4 linked regions of the Saccharomyces cerevisiae S288C genome follow. The protein of the gene in region 4 binds, or shares a complex with, the protein of the main gene of each other region. Each region holds a gene or a part of one and is shown on either strand. Other genes may lie near its edges. A codon is read from its position in the direction of its gene.

Region 1 (4,497 bases), on a different chromosome or scaffold from region 4:
CTTTGCATAGAACTACGAAATCTAATTAAGGTGACTAAAAAACCTTGGTGCGAGATTGATAGTAAAACTGGCAGGTCATTTTGCGACCAAATAAGAAATCAAGTGACAAATGAAAGAAACAAAACTTTATCTAAGATCCTCTCAGAAAACGGTGTACAAGTCCAGGATTCCACATTACTTAACCACATAATTTCTTCTTTTCAAAGTGAAGCTATAACACTTCCAGAAGCTCAGGAATTATTAAGAAGGGGCGTTACTTTCGATAATAGGGTAGTCATGGAATGTGAAAAGTTAATAGTATCTACAAGTGATCCAACTTTGATCAGTATAAGCGCCAAATTGAACAGTCTCAAAGCTTCGATGGCGAACCATCAAGCAAATTTGGTAGCTAGCAAACAGTTAAGTACATATAAGTAATCTACTAGCGATAACATTAACAATAATTTATAATACAAACTGGATAAAGAGATAAATGGATGCTTTAAAAAATAAACTTCTAACTATTTCTGTTTGAGTATTTCCAACTTATTCTCCAGTTGCTTCTTCTTTTCCTTTAGTTTCTTCAATTCTTCCAATTCCTCATTAGTAGAAGATGCCATCATAACCACGTCGTCCGCGTCTCTGCCTTCGTATTCTTGACCCATGTCTGGACTATTCAGAGCATCATCGTCATCCATACTAATGTTCTTCTTTAGCCTTAAATCGTTTAATTCATAAGTTTGCTGCAAAGTATCGAGTTCCCTTTGCATTCTACCCATAGATTTACGTAACTTATCGCCCAGAGTCCTAACCAGCGGTTCTACCTCTTCAATCAAATCTAATTTTGATCTTTCAACATCATATTCGGGAACTAAACGGAAAACCCTTTTGGTTTGCAACATTGTCGATGCAAGGTTCGTGCTTGGCTCATTTGCACATTTTAAAGACTCCACAGAATCCTTCAATACTGAAACTGTTCCCTCCAACGCAAGGACGCTCTGTTCCAAAGCATCTGTCATGGTTATTTTGCCTATCCTTCAATTCGTACACAGATATATGCGTCTGTGATCTGTTTATTATTCATTTTCATTGTTGCTAACTACTACGCCCTGTGAAAACAAACTTTATAATCGCCAATAATAAATACATAATGAAAGTAAATCGCAATCCGGACCCCACGGATAGTCACCAGTCTCACCAACTGGAAATTAGAAGGAAGGAAGACAACTGTAAATTCTTGGCATGGTAGAACTGGAAAAAAGAAGACGGCCCCCTCCGCAACTGCAACATTCTCCCTATGTTAGGGATCAATCGAATTCGCAGGGAATGACAAAGACGCCAGAAACGTCACCGCCTAAGAGGCCCATGGGAAGAGCTAGATCAAACTCGAGAAGCAGTGGATCCCGTTCAAATGTCGATATAGATCAGTATACCATACCACCAGGCTTAGATTTGTTGCCTACCGCTTCATCTCCACCTTCCGTCCATCAAGTTTCACAACAGCAACAATTATCCCCAATATTAGCCAACAAAATCCGTTCTCCATTTGAAAATCAAAGTCAGGATCAAAATGACAATTCAATAGACCCAACACCGGCTGGACAAGTAACAATTCCTGTAGAAGCCGTATCTCCACCGGCACTGGACGAATTATCGAAATTCCAAAATGGTTCAACTGAGACATTATTTAGAACTGGATCACCCCGTAAGAAGCATACACATATTATTATACTCAAATCCTTAAATGCAACTTTTGAGACCAAGTTTCTTGTTGTACCATTTAAACCTGACGGACTTAAATTAGGTCGACCAGTTACCAATAGCGTAAACAAGAATAATTCAGGATCGAAAAGAGATTTATTTTCGCAACAAGTTAGACCAGATAACGGAAATTTTGACTCAAGAGTTCTTTCCAGAAATCACGCTTGTCTCAGTTGTGATCCTACATCAGGAAAGATATATATTCGCGATCTAAAGTCCAGCAATGGGACATTTGTTAATGGGGTTAAAATACGCCAAAATGATGTAGAATTAAAAGTTGGTGATACTGTGGATTTGGGAACTGATATTGACTCAAAGTTTGAACATAGAAAAATCAGTGCGTATGTGGAAGAGATTTCAGTAATTCCCTTAATGAACACTGTATCTGATCCCACAAATTTGGTGATGAAAAAACAAGATCATACTAATAAGAATAATGGGAACTCCACTAATATAAACGGAATAAAGATAGACAGAGGTCATCATAATCAACACATTCCAATACGATCTCATTTAAAGGAAAATTATACCGAAGCTGGTGTAACATCTGCAACAACGGCTCAAAGGGCAGCCTTTGAGGCAGCTATGTTTGGAGATATTAATAACTCAGAATTAGATGATGATATTTTAGGTCCAGAAACTGAGGTTCTCAGTGGAATTTTTATCAACAATTCAGCAGGTACAAGCATAAATTTGATAAATATGATAAAAACTTTGACTACTGAGCTGTCCTTAGAAAAACAAGAGCTGGAAAAATTACATTCCATGCAAAACTTTATGCAAAACTATACGATAAACCTTGATTTCATCAATAAGCACATGATTGATATGAATGAAAAGCATTTACTGAAACTGAGCACGGCTTTACAAAAAACTCTATCAGAAAATAATGATGCGCTACTCAAAGAATCGGAAGATCAATTAAAAGAAATCAAACAACAAAATAATAAAGTAAAATCTGCATGTAGCTTGAAGGAAAAACAAAACCATGAAAAGCTACAGGAGCTCGAAAGTGAATTAAGAGAGCTGAACCTTCAAATAGAAGAAGAGAGGGGAAAAAATTTAGTTTTAACACAAAGCAATTTTAATGGTGGTATTAACAATGACAATAACGCTAAAGTAAAACAAAATGATTCAAGAGAAGAAAAAAAGGATACCGAAGATACATTAATAAGCACTGAAGAACTAGGAGTCGTCGAAGGCAAGAGAACAAGAGTTAGTAAGGGAATGCTCTTTGGAGTAGTTGCCATTTCATTCGGTTTAGTTGCGACGGCCGTTAAGCAATTGCCACAATAACTCGAAAGAAGAAAAATACTACAAGCATAATCTACAAAGCAAAAACAGGGCTTGTCCTGTAGAAATGAGAAAAACCATATATTATAAATAAGCACATATTCCATATACTTTGAATATTGTTTTGCAATTCTGATCCACACTCTTTTTTTTCATTTTTTCAAGATTTCTTGATTAAGTAAAATTAAAAAAAAATTCGGGAACTCAAGCTAAAACTGGATGCGTCTACTCATCACCTATAGTCTCAAGATTGTCGAAGATACAGATTTTGAATAAATATCTACAAAAAAGTTACATAGTAAATTGCGAATGGAAGGAAAGGTTGATGTCTTGCTAACATGGCTGAAAAAATCAGATAAGTTTTATATAGCACCAAACATCAGCATCTGTGAATCGCCAGAAACTGGCAGAGGGATCGTCCTCAGTCACGGTTCGATAAGAAAAAACGATATCATTGTATCAGTACCGAGCTCGAAGCAACTAAATTTTCACACTATCCTCTATCATATTTCAAAGTTTAATAAAGAGCTGAATATTCCTGGTATCACAATCGATAGAAAGCCAATCAATTATGAGGACAATATTATTGAAGCGGAAAATAAAGCCTGGGCCGATCCTAGATATGGATTATATTCCGAATTATCGAAAGAGTTTTTGTTAAGTTTATCATCATTTCAATTGGTATCATTTTATATATTGGTTGAAAATTTTCTATTGCCAAAATGGACTCACAATGAAATCTACTCAGATTGGAAACCATTCTTTGATGTATGGCCCTCAATGGAGGAGCTGCGATCAATCCCAGCCATTTGGAACTGTGATCCCAATTCACGTTACCATTCACTGATTGAATATCTCCCTGCTGCCTCACGAAAGCATATGGCAAGAATTAGTGGCCTTGTCAGAGAAGATTGGGAAACCATTTCAGAGGTGGTTTTGAAATGGAATGAAATTTACGGCTCCTTAAGCTGTACGAAAAATTCTGATAAATTTACTAGTGATGAGTTATTCTCCCTTTTTGTACATGTTTATTTTATTATAAACTCAAGATGTCTTTATGCGAAGATTCCGTTGAAAATAGAGGACTCCCCAAGCAATTTCACTTTAGTGCCGTATGTCGATTTCATGAACCACATTTGTGAGTCGGATTTGCACTGCTATCCTCAGTTAAGTCCTCAGTTGAGGTCAGAAGGAGAAAACATCATTGGAATTGGACAATTTACCATTAGATGCGGCGATCACCTCTATGACAACATTAACGAGGAGCTCTTTTTGAATTATGGTGCACACTCAAATGATTTTTTACTGAACGAGTATGGATTTGTGGTAGACGGAAACAAATGGAACTACTTAGACATATCTGACGAAATTATTGAACTAATAGACGACGACAAAAAGGAGGTAAAAACGTTTCTATTGGAACATGATTATTGGGGAGATTACACTATCAATGAGACTGATATC
Region 2 (4,420 bases), on a different chromosome or scaffold from region 4:
CAAATCCCAAATCCTTACGCTATTGTCCATCGAGCCTGTTACCAATTTTTCGGAATCAAACTTCAAACTTGTAATTCCATCGGTATGGCCTTCTAGTAATCTCACCGGTTTGCCAACTCTTAGATCCCATAGTCGCACAATGCCATCTTTTGTTCCTGTTGCTAATGCAGAGTTGTAACATTGGAGGGCTCCTATCATTGGTGCTTCTGTGCCAAGTAAACATGCACCATTGTTTAATGAACGTGCAGGCATTTTAATGTCGCTATGTGTAGGTGTGAAGATAAGGTCAAGTTGCTGAATACATTTGCCCGTCGTTAAATCCCAGTGGAATATTTTTTTGTCCCTAGATCCGCTAACCAAAGCTTCAGAATCAAAAGACAGGGCTGTGATTTCGTCTTTATGTAACTCAAAATTATGGATACATGGTGTAACAATTTCTTCTGTCTTCTCCTTCAATGGACTATGGTCCAAATATATTTCTCTACTCAGATTTAAGTCCCATAACTTCAGAGTGGCATCCTTACTTCCAGTAATCAACATATTGTAATTTTTCTTATCTATTTGCATGCAATTAACAGTAGCAAGGTGACCAGGCAGCTCTCCAACTTGTATCCCATGGTTCAAATCCCACACTTTTACTATACGATCTTGGTAGCTTGATGAGCACAAGGTTCCCCATGGTGTATCAAAGTCTAATGCGGTTATGCTGTTTCCATGTTCGCCATGGGGTATTGTCATTCTGAAAGCCGTGGTATTTCGGCTATATGTTTCTGAGATAATTTGCCTGTTTTTATCGTGGCTTTTTTCATGGGGCATCTTGTAAAAATCTTTTAATCTCGTATCCTTACTTTCAACATCACATAACGACGATATGGCTTCTTCATTTTGCGTGAAGGACGACGCTTCAGATGATCTTTCTTCTTCCATTTGCTTCCGTAAGCTCTGTTCACGATCAGCTTCCAAATTGTATTCCTCGATAAAATTTATTCTATCCTTTATCAGTGTTACATCATTCTCAAGATTGGTAGACTTACTATCAATGTGCTTAACCCTTTCCAGGATTTTTAATTTCCTGGATTCTAGTTCGTTGATCATGGAATCTAATCTGGTCAACTCATCCATCTCTAACGTTTTATTGATTGACAGATTTTCCACGTTAGTTTCTACATCCTCAAGTAAATGTGTTAGGTCAATTCTAGAGTACGTTTTATTCACAAAACCAGTATTAATATCCGGCAATTGAACGTATTTTTCCTTATCACTATTCGTGGCCCCGTCTACATTGTCTAACAACAGTCTCTGTTGAATGATGGAAACGGTAGCTTTGAATCCTTCAAATAAAGAAGGTAAATTCTTTTCAGCGGCACCGTTGGGTAGCGGGTATCGCTGCTCATCTAAATGAGCAAGTATTCTGAAAGTTGTTGCAGAGTCTGCATAATTGTTTTGAAAGGAAAATATCCCTACTTGTCCTTTCTGGGTATCTTTTGTACTTTCGGGCCAAGCCACCTCTCTGAACAGTAGAAGTTTGGAAAGATATCTGTAGATGGGGCTCGTTATATATTTTTGAAATTGTTGTTGCGCTAGTATGGCATGTGGTAGCTTATTAAGTATAATTTCGATTGGTTTAGCTACCAGAGAGCTTTCTCCTCTAGTATCGCCCGAACCCATATAGAGATACTCTTTTTTACTCTCGCTCGTGGTAATCTTATATGTCATTCATGGTTAGTTTTTTTTTTATGACTATTTTTTTTTTCCATTACGATGAGGAAAGTTTATGTGAGAAACATGAAGCTACATGCTTTAACAGGAGACAGACCCATGGTGGATCCGCTCAGTTGGTTTTATACATTTAGATGTAAGGTAATACATAATTATATGATTTGCAGTGGCCTATGTATGCAATTAGGACAAAGGAAATATCTATTCTTGAGGAGAAGTGCTCCCCTACTCTTGCAAGTTGGCTATCTCCATTTCTAGCCGCCTAATTTCATCTTTTTCTTTTCGAATAATCTTAGCAACGTCGTGAGAAGAAGAAGGATGGTACTGTGACATAGTCTTTAAGCGATCATCTTGAAGCAAAACTTCTTTCTTGATGAAGCGCAATTTGGAAGAAAGTTGTTCATAATTATGGTACAATTGGTCGTAATCCTGCTTGAACTCTGTTAGTGGCCATAAATCTGTTACTTCGGCCATAACTTTAAGAATTAAATCAGTAGGGAAATCCTCGACAAAGATGGTTTTTCTTCTTTGGTTATTGGATTCTTCTTCCATGAGCACGCTTCCATTTTCCAAGGCATATAGGAGCCTTTGAATTTGCGGATCATCCTTGAACACGGCTGATAATGCTTTGAATGTACCTGAACTTGAATTTGAAATGACAGAGGATCCTATAAGATCGGTATCAAAAATAAAACCGTTCAAGCCACCGCCACTTGTAGTGGCGGTTCTTCTCCTTTTATTGTTCAAATCAAGACGATCTTTGTTCAAATATACTTCCTTGGGCACATGGATGATCGGTTTTTCCCCTGGTCTGCCCAGCCTTCTATTTCTTTTCATGTCCGTATCTCGTTTAATAACATAGTCGAATACTCCCTCCTTGCCGTCTCTACGTGAAACGGATTGTTTCTCAGGGTTGACTTTGAACAGAAGATACGCCTCGTCGTGGTTACAGTCCTTTATTAGTCTAGTAATGTCTTTTCTAATGCTTGCCTTGTTGCTTGCTCCCTGTAGGATGGCATTATGAAAAATTCCTGGTGGCTTGAAATAGAGTGTGGACATAGAGTCCACCGCCCTATTAATATCATCTATACATCTATCCAAGCTTTCCCCCATTCTGTAATTGCCACGTCTTATTTTGTTAGGTGATGATCTAATTTTTTTGAGCTTTGTTTATTGATTATTTTCAAATGTCTCTTGCTTATTTTCGCGCTTCCACAAGGTTATACACTGAGCTGTAAATGTAAGGTGTATGGCATATATAAATATATATATATATTCGTAGTGTGAACATTAGGCTAACTGTAACAAAAATCGTTAATCACGCCAGGCTGCGTATACTTCATCGGTTCTGAATTTCTGCGTAACAACAGTTTCAGAAAAGTCCTTCACGATCCCACCCATTCTATACTCTAGTAGTCCTGCTTGGGCAATCATAACTCCGTTATCGATACAAAACCTATTATCTGTAGCATGTACTTGCCCATTGGCCCTGTCTTTACACATTTGCGCCATCATTTCTTGTAATCGCACGTTACAACCAACACCGCCTACGATCAAAACTTGATTGGAGTTAACGTGAGCCATAGCTCTTTCTGTTATTTCAACTAGCATGGCGAATAGGTTCTCTTGCAGAGAGTAGCAAAGATCCTCTACAGTGACTTTTTGCTCGCCCGTTGTCTTGTCGAATAGGATCTTATTTTTCTTATTGCCCTTAAATAGATCCTTGGCAAGTAAATCGATGGAAGCCAATATACCACTCATCGAAAGATCCATCCCCTTTACTGTATAGGGAAGTTCTACCAAGTTTTCTTTGTGAGGGGCTTTTTTAGCTAACTGCTCGATGTTGTAGCCAGGCGAGGGCTCATTAGGTATCTTCAGAGTTCTTGCAAATCTATCAAGACAATTACCGATAGCAATATCAAGCGTTTCACCAAAGATACGGTACCTTTTTTCCGAGTATGCAATAACTTGTGTATTTCCACCACTTACATACAGTACCACAGGATTTTGAGCTTTAGTGATTTCTCTCCCCATTTCGATGTGACCAATGCAGTGGTTTACTCCCACCAGTGGCACGTCCCACAGTAAGGAGCACGTTCTGGCGGCGATGACAACTGAATGCAGAGGGGCCCCCATGCCGGGACCTTTGGTAAAGCAAATTACATCAATGTCTAGTGTCGGGCTTTTGATGTCAGCTTCGGCCAGTGCTTGTTTTATGAGTCTTATGCACCAATTTCTGTGATGCCTTGCCGTGTCTCGAGGCAAAAATCCCTCCCCAGGAGGTGTGACATATGTGTCTCTAATATTAGAAAGCATCTCAGCTTCGCAATCATAAGATAGATCGCTGTTGGCATGTTTAGGCAGAAGCGGATGCTTAACTATACCAACGCCCAGTTTATTTGCAGAACCTTCAAGTCCAAGCGCAATGTAGTAGTCCCTGCCATTTTTGGGTGGGATAGTGTTCAAGTTGACCATTTTGCTCCCGACTGCATTAGGGAACGCTTGGGAATTCCCTTCACGTAAAAGATAAATATATGCATCGTTGCACGAAGTAAAAATGGTTACTCTCGAACTCATCATAATGAAAGAATTCAGTTTTTCCGTATAAAGCGATATTACAGGAGGAATAAAAAGCAAAATAAAAAATCTCCGCGACGGGGAATTGAACCCCGATCTGGCACGCGACAAGCGCCCATTCTGA
Region 3 (3,197 bases), 330 kb from region 4:
ATATTTAAGGGATTCTTATGCAATGATGAAATATTTTTCACCTATAACGCCGACTACTGAAAACAGAGGGCCATCTTAACCGTTTTGCATTCAGTAACCCATACTCAGGATTTAATAAAAGAGGAAAGCAATGTCTCTACTAGGCGCCAGGTCCACTTACCGTTGGTTTTCAATCGCTGCATCAATTCCGACTAAGAATGCTATTGGCAAATCCACGTACCTCTTAGCTTCAAGAAATCAACAGTACCGAGGCATCATAACGTCAACTGTAGACTGGAAACCAATCAAGACAGGTAAGAGCCCAAATGATGATTCTCGAAGAGAAAGATCCTTTGGCAAGAAAATTGTTCTGGGTCTGATGTTCGCGATGCCAATAATATCCTTCTATTTGGGAACTTGGCAAGTAAGGAGATTGAAGTGGAAAACCAAGCTGATTGCGGCATGCGAAACTAAACTTACTTATGAACCAATACCACTTCCTAAGTCATTTACACCTGACATGTGCGAGGATTGGGAATACCGTAAAGTTATACTTACCGGACACTTCCTTCACAATGAAGAGATGTTTGTTGGTCCAAGAAAGAAAAATGGAGAAAAGGGTTATTTTCTGTTTACACCGTTCATTAGAGATGACACCGGTGAGAAAGTTCTGATAGAAAGAGGGTGGATAAGTGAAGAAAAAGTTGCTCCTGACTCAAGAAATTTACACCATTTGTCGTTGCCTCAAGAAGAACACTTGAAAGTGGTTTGCTTAGTAAGACCTCCAAAGAAAAGAGGCTCGCTACAATGGGCGAAAAAGGATCCAAATTCTAGATTGTGGCAGGTGCCAGACATATATGACATGGCAAGATCATCAGGGTGCACGCCCATTCAATTTCAAGCCTTGTATGACATGAAGGACCATCCAATAATCGAGGAACACACAAGAAACGAGGCTTCACAAAACAATTCCACCTCTAGCCTGTGGAAGTTCTGGAAACGAGAACCTACGACTGCTGTAAACGGAACGCAAGCTGTTGATAATAATACATCGAAGCCTCGTTCTAGGCAGGAAATGCCGACAGACCAAACAATTGAATTCGATGAACGACAGTTTATCAAAGCAGGTGTTCCCATAGGCCGGAAGCCCACTATTGATTTAAAGAATAACCATCTACAATATTTGGTAACGTGGTATGGCCTTTCGTTTTTGAGCACAATCTTCCTCATTGTGGCTCTTAGGAAGGCGAAAAGAGGGGGCGTTGTGTCCCAAGACCAACTAATGAAAGAGAAACTGAAGCATTCAAGGAAATATATGTAAACGGCAAACTCCTCTGCCCATACTATCGAACTCTATCCAAGAAGCGCGTAATTTCACGAGCACTGCCTAAACGGTTTTCCACATTAGTTTTGCAACTACAATGATTCGGATATGGCACATTTACATAATTTAAACTTGTACATAACTAACACCTTTTTATCCATATACCTTATGTGCCGCTCAAGATATGAACATTGCGCGTTGCCCGGACAATATCGATAAATAATAGCCAAAACAAACATGTTTTATCGACGCATGAATCCTTTGGCGTTAAACTTGTCCAATTGCACTGAAACTTGGAGCGTATAAGCTCAGCAATTGCACCAAAACAATATCAGAAAAGGCTTGTATTGCCACTTTCACCTATGAGCGAAGATAAAGCTAAATTAGGGACCACAAGGTCTGCCACGGAATATCGTTTATCCATTGGTAGCGCTCCGACTTCAAGAAGGTCGTCTATGGGTGAATCCTCATCCCTGATGAAATTTGCTGATCAAGAGGGATTAACGAGTTCCGTTGGCGAATATAACGAGAATACCATACAACAGCTTCTGTTGCCTAAAATAAGAGAACTGAGCGATTCAATCATTACTTTAGATTCCAATTTCACGCGCTTAAATTTTATCCACGAGAGTTTAGCTGATCTTAATGAATCCCTAGGTTCGTTGTTGTACGGTATTATGAGCAATTCATGGTGCGTAGAATTCTCACAGGCGCCTCATGATATTCAAGACGATTTGATCGCTATTAAACAATTGAAATCGTTGGAAGATGAGAAAAATAACTTAGTAATGGAACTCTCCAATATGGAACGCGGGATTAAAAGAAAAAAAGACGAACAAGGTGAAAATGATTTGGCCAAGGCATCTCAGAACAAACAGTTTAACCAGCCGCTATTTCCCTCCTCACAAGTAAGAAAATACAGGTCATATGACAACAGAGACAAGAGGAAGCCCTCCAAGATAGGCAACAACTTACAAGTAGAGAATGAGGAGGACTATGAAGACGATACTAGTAGTGAAGCTTCTTTTGTTCTAAATCCAACAAATATCGGTATGTCCAAATCATCTCAAGGTCACGTGACTAAAACCACGCGTTTGAATAATAATACCAACAGTAAACTGAGAAGAAAGTCCATCTTACATACAATCAGAAATAGCATTGCTTCCGGCGCTGATTTACCCATCGAAAACGACAATGTTGTTAATTTGGGAGATCTGCATCCAAATAATCGAATATCACTCGGAAGTGGTGCTGCAAGAGTGGTCAATGGGCCCGTTACGAAGAACAGAAATTCAATGTTCTCAGGACGTGCTGAAAGGAAACCCACAGAAAGCAGACATTCTGTTGCAAAGAAAACTGAAAAAAAAATAAATACAAGGCCCCCCTTCAGATGACTACGCCCAACCCAACCAAAGAATTATCCTCCTCACAAAATATATCGCTAGCATGCGTGAGTTATGGATAAGAAGAATATTTGATGAGCTGACTGATTCTTTATAGCAATAGGGAGGAAGGCAGTACACATATCAGCAGTGCATGGGCACAACCCGCATTACAACGAAACATGATATATCTATATAAAAGAAGATACGGACAGGCGGTCGAGGCTATTACTGTGCCACTATGCGAGTCATGAATGATTTTTAAATTAGTTAGTACCCCTTTATATAACGTCTTCAATAAAAGTGCGGGAAAATTCGGGTAATATTTTCTATAACTGTCATTTTTTTTTCGTTATGTATGGCAAACCAAATTGACAAGAAACTGGACAACGGTTAAAGCAAAAGGAGGAAGAAAGATATTGATTTGTGCTTTGAAGAATAACCCAAGCGAACAGGTCATTAATTGCCTAGAATCTTTACATAGAATTTGCCTTTTATGGAAGAGACGGGAG
Region 4 (4,636 bases):
CTACTGATTGGATCTTTGAGGGCTAAGTACCCTGATCTCCCAATACATGTTCACACTCACGATTCTGCAGGTACTGCTGTTGCATCAATGACTGCGTGTGCTCTGGCGGGCGCCGATGTCGTTGATGTTGCCATCAACTCAATGTCTGGTTTAACTTCACAACCATCAATCAATGCTCTGTTGGCTTCATTAGAAGGTAATATTGACACTGGTATTAACGTTGAGCATGTCCGTGAACTAGATGCATATTGGGCAGAGATGAGATTGTTATACTCTTGTTTCGAGGCTGACTTGAAGGGCCCAGATCCAGAAGTTTATCAACATGAAATCCCAGGTGGTCAATTGACAAACTTGTTGTTTCAAGCCCAACAATTGGGTCTTGGAGAACAATGGGCCGAAACAAAAAGAGCTTACAGAGAAGCCAATTATTTATTGGGTGATATTGTCAAAGTTACCCCAACTTCGAAGGTCGTTGGTGATCTGGCACAATTTATGGTCTCCAATAAATTAACTTCCGATGATGTGAGACGCCTGGCTAATTCTTTGGATTTCCCTGACTCTGTTATGGATTTCTTCGAAGGCTTAATCGGCCAACCATATGGTGGGTTCCCAGAACCATTTAGATCAGACGTTTTAAGGAACAAGAGAAGAAAGTTGACTTGTCGTCCAGGCCTGGAACTAGAGCCATTTGATCTCGAAAAAATTAGAGAAGACTTGCAGAATAGATTTGGTGATGTTGATGAGTGCGACGTTGCTTCTTATAACATGTACCCAAGAGTTTATGAAGACTTCCAAAAGATGAGAGAAACGTATGGTGATTTATCTGTATTGCCAACAAGAAGCTTTTTGTCTCCACTAGAGACTGACGAAGAAATTGAAGTTGTAATCGAACAAGGTAAAACGCTAATTATCAAGCTACAGGCTGTGGGTGATTTGAACAAAAAGACCGGTGAAAGAGAAGTTTACTTTGATTTGAATGGTGAAATGAGAAAAATTCGTGTTGCTGACAGATCACAAAAAGTGGAAACTGTTACTAAATCCAAAGCAGACATGCATGATCCATTACACATTGGTGCACCAATGGCAGGTGTCATTGTTGAAGTTAAAGTTCATAAAGGATCACTAATAAAGAAGGGCCAACCTGTAGCCGTATTAAGCGCCATGAAAATGGAAATGATTATATCTTCTCCATCCGATGGACAAGTTAAAGAAGTGTTTGTCTCTGATGGTGAAAATGTGGACTCTTCTGATTTATTAGTTCTATTAGAAGACCAAGTTCCTGTTGAAACTAAGGCATGAACCGGTTAGTTCTCATTTATAATGTATAATATACCCGAATCTTATTTATTTACCTTTCCTATTTTTTGACGACCAGTAAATACTAATACATAATTAGGAACAAAAGTTAAATAAAAAAAAAAATAATAATTTAACGCATCCAATTAACGTGTCCTTTTTTCATCATTAATTTATCTACTATTTCGATTTAAATTCCATATACAATAAATCCTAGATACATTCCCGAAAGCATCTTTTAGCGAAACATCTTCCTTGAGCTGCTAGCAGTGGGCTTAGTCCACCTGTTAGTTACTCTTGGTATACCACTAGGTCTTTTCGAGGCAGGAACATGGGTCTTTCTTACTCTTCCGTTATTTGAAATTCCTGCCGAAGGAACGGGCCTTCTACCAGATTGCACACCGTACCTTGGATTTAAGCCTTGATTTGGTGGCTTTGCTGGTGCAGCATCCTTTTCACCCTTCCTATTTTCTAATTTTTGTCTCAAATCCAAGATCTCCTTCTTTTTCAACGCTATCACGTTGTGTAAAGTACTCCCATCTTCATCATTTGTGTTTACATTTTCATTGTGCAGTCTATCATTAATTAGCTTTAAATAGGTTTGATCGCTCATCAATTTATGAATATAACCAGCTTGAGAATGAATGTTGATCCATGAATCTAAAATGGAATTCGTAGATTTACATACCTCATGTACTTGATTAACGTATACTGGCAAGTTATTTTTTAATGCGGCCGTAACATTTTTTATCATTGCTGTTATTTTATCTAACGATTCTGATTCTTTGAGTAAGGATTGCGTTGTGATTGAATTAAACGATCTTATAGAATTGCTGTTAGCCGAAATATTATCGCTTGCTCCACCTCCTGTGCTTTTTGGAAATTTATTGGTCGTGTTATTGAGGTTAGATCTCATCTCATTGAAAATCTGTGGAATCAGTTTGTCTATAGTCGAATCATCTAATTGGCTTTGCTCACTCATATTGAAGACTTGTTCAAGTTTCAAATTATCTTCTTTAGTAATACTTGAGTCACCAGTCCAGATTACTTAGCCTATCTTTCTTTATCGCGTTTGATTTTGGCGTTTGTTTGTAATTATTATTCTTTTTTCCTTCGTTTCGCTGTGAAACTAACTTGCGCTGAGGTCCAAAAACCTCTCATCTAAGAATAAAGGAAAATACATATTATCCTGGGTCTAAAAGGCTAAAAGAACTCACCGTCAAGAGGAAGGGCTCAGAAAGTATGGGTGAGTCAATTGAAACAATTTGTAAAAGCCTTGTCAGGGCTTTCCAAGAGGAGAAGGATGATTTTGTCTCACTTGTAACAATCATTGATATGTACAACGAGCAGGTGAACTCTGGAAAGTCTATAAAAGAAAAGGAACGTTATTTGGATGCCCTATTGAAAATACTTAAGGATAATCCAGTTACCTTAAAGGAAATTGGCTGGGATCTGCCAAAGGGTTTATTGCAGTTTTTCTCACGCAAAAACATCAATGTCAATATACATCTAGTTTTTAGTCCCCTTGTTTCTAGTGTGATGGAATGCTTCAATGAGCTAGCCATCAATGGAAATCCGAAAGAATGCTTGTTGACCGCTTGCGAATTGGTGTCAACACTCCATATAGTCTTAACTGAAACTGGCGACTCCGATGAAGAGAATGAAGATTTAAATGACTCCAATAGAAATGATGCGTCAAACATTACTGATGAGCTGTCAGTTATCACTCCGGAGATTGGGCACTATATGGCCAAAAATACAGTAGAATTCATTCCAAATTTGAAAATTTACGTTCTCTTTGAATTTATGAGTTTATTGTTGAAACGTGTGGACACTTTATATCCATCTAAATTTCTAGCCATGGTAACTTCTGCAATTATTAAGTATGTAACAACCAACGTTCAGGCTATGGATGATCCACACTTTATTTTGCGCATAGTGTACAATTTTTGTACTAATTACTCTCCAGCTCAACCATCTGCTAGTCTGACCGATGGTATTAGTACAAACGATCTTGAAAAAATTCATGATGATGAATCTGCCTTACAGAAAAAACTACTGGCTAATCTGAGCGTATTCGTGATTAGCAACTGCCTAAAAAATCATCCAGGTAATATTGACAAGATATATTTCAAAACATTGATGCATAAAAAAACAGATGAAAATGAAATCGATGCTTCAGTTTTACAGATATGCCACCAATACTACGAGTATGTCACATCATTGGATGTCCACATGAAAGAACTTTTAGAAAAGTGCCTGGTAGAATCAAGAAGCATCTATAACTCTCTTCTCATGAACCCGGCCGCTTCCACGCCCGAATTCAAAGAAGAAATTAACCAACTAGTATATGAGGTATCTTACGCATATCAAATCAAGAAACTAGCTGACGAAAAGAACTTAGAGCTGGACCAATATGGAGTTGTGATTCTATCTGCAATACATTATTCTAAAAATGGTACTCACTTATTGCCGCAAATTGATATCCAAAGCGCAATTTACCTCTATCTACGGTGTACGACAGCTTCTTTATTTTCAGAAATATACGAAAATAAGTTTTTGGAAAGTTCAGTACGCTACTGGCTATGGGTATCCACAACCGAGACTTCCACAGAGAAAATAAAGTGTGCCTTACAAGAACTTCCAGGGCACATTACCACGGCCTTTTTGCAGATGTTACTGATGAAAACTTGCAATGAATCTAATAACGACACTAAGTTGACCGAAATTACTCTTCTGAGGAGGTTACTCTATCTCATGCCCGAAAGCACATCTTTTACGTTCATCTTTGAAACTCTACTACATTGTCCATATATAACTGCAAAGATTGCTGTTCTTGACATTCTAAGAGATATGATGATTAGATCTCCTGAGGCTGCTAATCGTGACGAAACTGTCGGTTTAATCGAACAACAGAATCCTGGGAATACCGCTAATAGTGTACCGATAATGCCAACTCTACCTCCAAGACCTTACATCACTATTAATGAAGATCGCATGGCTTCCATTCATAGCATTGCTTTAATATGTTTTTCTGCCGCCAAGCAAAAGAAAAGAACGCAAGGTGATTTACTCTTGGTACTAACATATATGAAATTTTTTGTTAGTTTAAGGAACAAATGGGATTTGGGTCTGTTAACACTCATCAATAAAGAAATCTCCGAATCATTTCAAGGAGAAGGTGAGCCTGAATTAGCATTCATCAACATTTCCAATAATACTCTGGGAGAATATATAGAAGAGATGAACATACGCTCGTAAACTACATAGTAAATTAGTTGCTCTTCTCTTTTGTTCCCGAGTAAATCGAATTATTCTATTAAAGGGAAACACTATGTTT

What was found.
Region 1: DUO1 (region 4) and SPC19 share a complex: the UniProt entries of both Saccharomyces cerevisiae proteins name them as parts of the DASH complex.
Region 2: DUO1 (region 4) and SPC34 share a complex: the UniProt entries of both Saccharomyces cerevisiae proteins name them as parts of the DASH complex.
Region 3: the proteins of DUO1 (region 4) and DAM1 are in contact, whole or in part, in a cryo-EM structure (PDB 8Q84), measured with the Saccharomyces cerevisiae proteins. Residues at the interface, in NP_011454.1 of Saccharomyces cerevisiae: Glu67 (codon at 2,080), Ile74 (codon at 2,059), Leu89 (codon at 2,014), Tyr92 (codon at 2,005), Val93 (codon at 2,002), Gln95 (codon at 1,996), Val96 (codon at 1,993), Val99 (codon at 1,984), Cys100 (codon at 1,981), Ser102 (codon at 1,975), Thr103 (codon at 1,972), Ile106 (codon at 1,963), Leu107 (codon at 1,960), Ser109 (codon at 1,954), Trp110 (codon at 1,951), Ile113 (codon at 1,942), Tyr119 (codon at 1,924), Lys122 (codon at 1,915), Leu123 (codon at 1,912), Asp126 (codon at 1,903), Tyr129 (codon at 1,894), Ile133 (codon at 1,882), Arg136 (codon at 1,873), Leu137 (codon at 1,870), Leu152 (codon at 1,825), Ile156 (codon at 1,813), Lys159 (codon at 1,804), Glu162 (codon at 1,795), Ile163 (codon at 1,792), Leu166 (codon at 1,783); in NP_011628.4 of Saccharomyces cerevisiae: Ile59 (codon at 1,840), Gln60 (codon at 1,843), Leu63 (codon at 1,852), Ile67 (codon at 1,864), Phe81 (codon at 1,906), His88 (codon at 1,927), Leu91 (codon at 1,936), Ala92 (codon at 1,939), Asn95 (codon at 1,948), Leu98 (codon at 1,957), Leu101 (codon at 1,966), Leu102 (codon at 1,969), Gln116 (codon at 2,011), Pro118 (codon at 2,017), Ile121 (codon at 2,026), Asp123 (codon at 2,032), Asp124 (codon at 2,035), Leu125 (codon at 2,038), Ala127 (codon at 2,044), Ile128 (codon at 2,047), Gln130 (codon at 2,053), Leu131 (codon at 2,056), Leu134 (codon at 2,065), Glu135 (codon at 2,068), Glu137 (codon at 2,074), Lys138 (codon at 2,077), Leu141 (codon at 2,086), Leu145 (codon at 2,098).

The regions. Positions count from the first base shown.
Region 1 is NC_001136.10:852,818-857,314, reverse strand, and holds SPC19 (Spc19p), read right to left. Parts: upstream 999-4,497; coding exon 501-998; downstream 1-500. Other genes in the region: RAV2 (Rav2p), read left to right, coding at 1-417; VPS64 (Vps64p), read left to right, coding at 1,222-3,036; RKM2 (protein-lysine N-methyltransferase), read left to right, coding at 3,343-4,497. UniProt on the Saccharomyces cerevisiae protein: Component of the DASH complex that connects microtubules with kinetochores and couples microtubule depolymerisation to chromosome movement; it is involved in retrieving kinetochores to the spindle poles before their re-orientation on the spindle in early mitosis and allows microtubule depolymerization to pull chromosomes apart and resist detachment during anaphase.
Region 2 is NC_001143.9:508,966-513,385, forward strand, and holds SPC34 (Spc34p), read right to left. Parts: upstream 2,833-4,420; coding exon 1,945-2,832; downstream 1-1,944. Other genes in the region: CAF4 (Caf4p), read right to left, coding at 1-1,668; KAE1 (tRNA N6-adenosine threonylcarbamoyltransferase), read right to left, coding at 3,034-4,194. UniProt on the Saccharomyces cerevisiae protein: Component of the DASH complex that connects microtubules with kinetochores and couples microtubule depolymerisation to chromosome movement; it is involved in retrieving kinetochores to the spindle poles before their re-orientation on the spindle in early mitosis and allows microtubule depolymerization to pull chromosomes apart and resist detachment during anaphase.
Region 3 is NC_001139.9:717,228-720,424, forward strand, and holds DAM1 (Dam1p), read left to right. Parts: upstream 1-1,665; coding exon 1,666-2,697; downstream 2,698-3,197. Other genes in the region: cytochrome oxidase assembly protein SHY1, read left to right, coding at 131-1,300; chromatin-remodeling histone chaperone SPT6, read left to right, coding at 3,182-3,197. UniProt on the Saccharomyces cerevisiae protein: Component of the DASH complex that connects microtubules with kinetochores and couples microtubule depolymerisation to chromosome movement; it is involved in retrieving kinetochores to the spindle poles before their re-orientation on the spindle in early mitosis and allows microtubule depolymerization to pull chromosomes apart and resist detachment during anaphase.
Region 4 is NC_001139.9:387,434-392,069, forward strand, and holds DUO1 (Duo1p), read right to left. Parts: upstream 2,279-4,636; coding exon 1,535-2,278; downstream 1-1,534. Other genes in the region: PYC1 (pyruvate carboxylase 1), read left to right, coding at 1-1,299; YBP2 (Ybp2p), read left to right, coding at 2,632-4,557. UniProt on the Saccharomyces cerevisiae protein: Component of the DASH complex that connects microtubules with kinetochores and couples microtubule depolymerisation to chromosome movement; it is involved in retrieving kinetochores to the spindle poles before their re-orientation on the spindle in early mitosis and allows microtubule depolymerization to pull chromosomes apart and resist detachment during anaphase.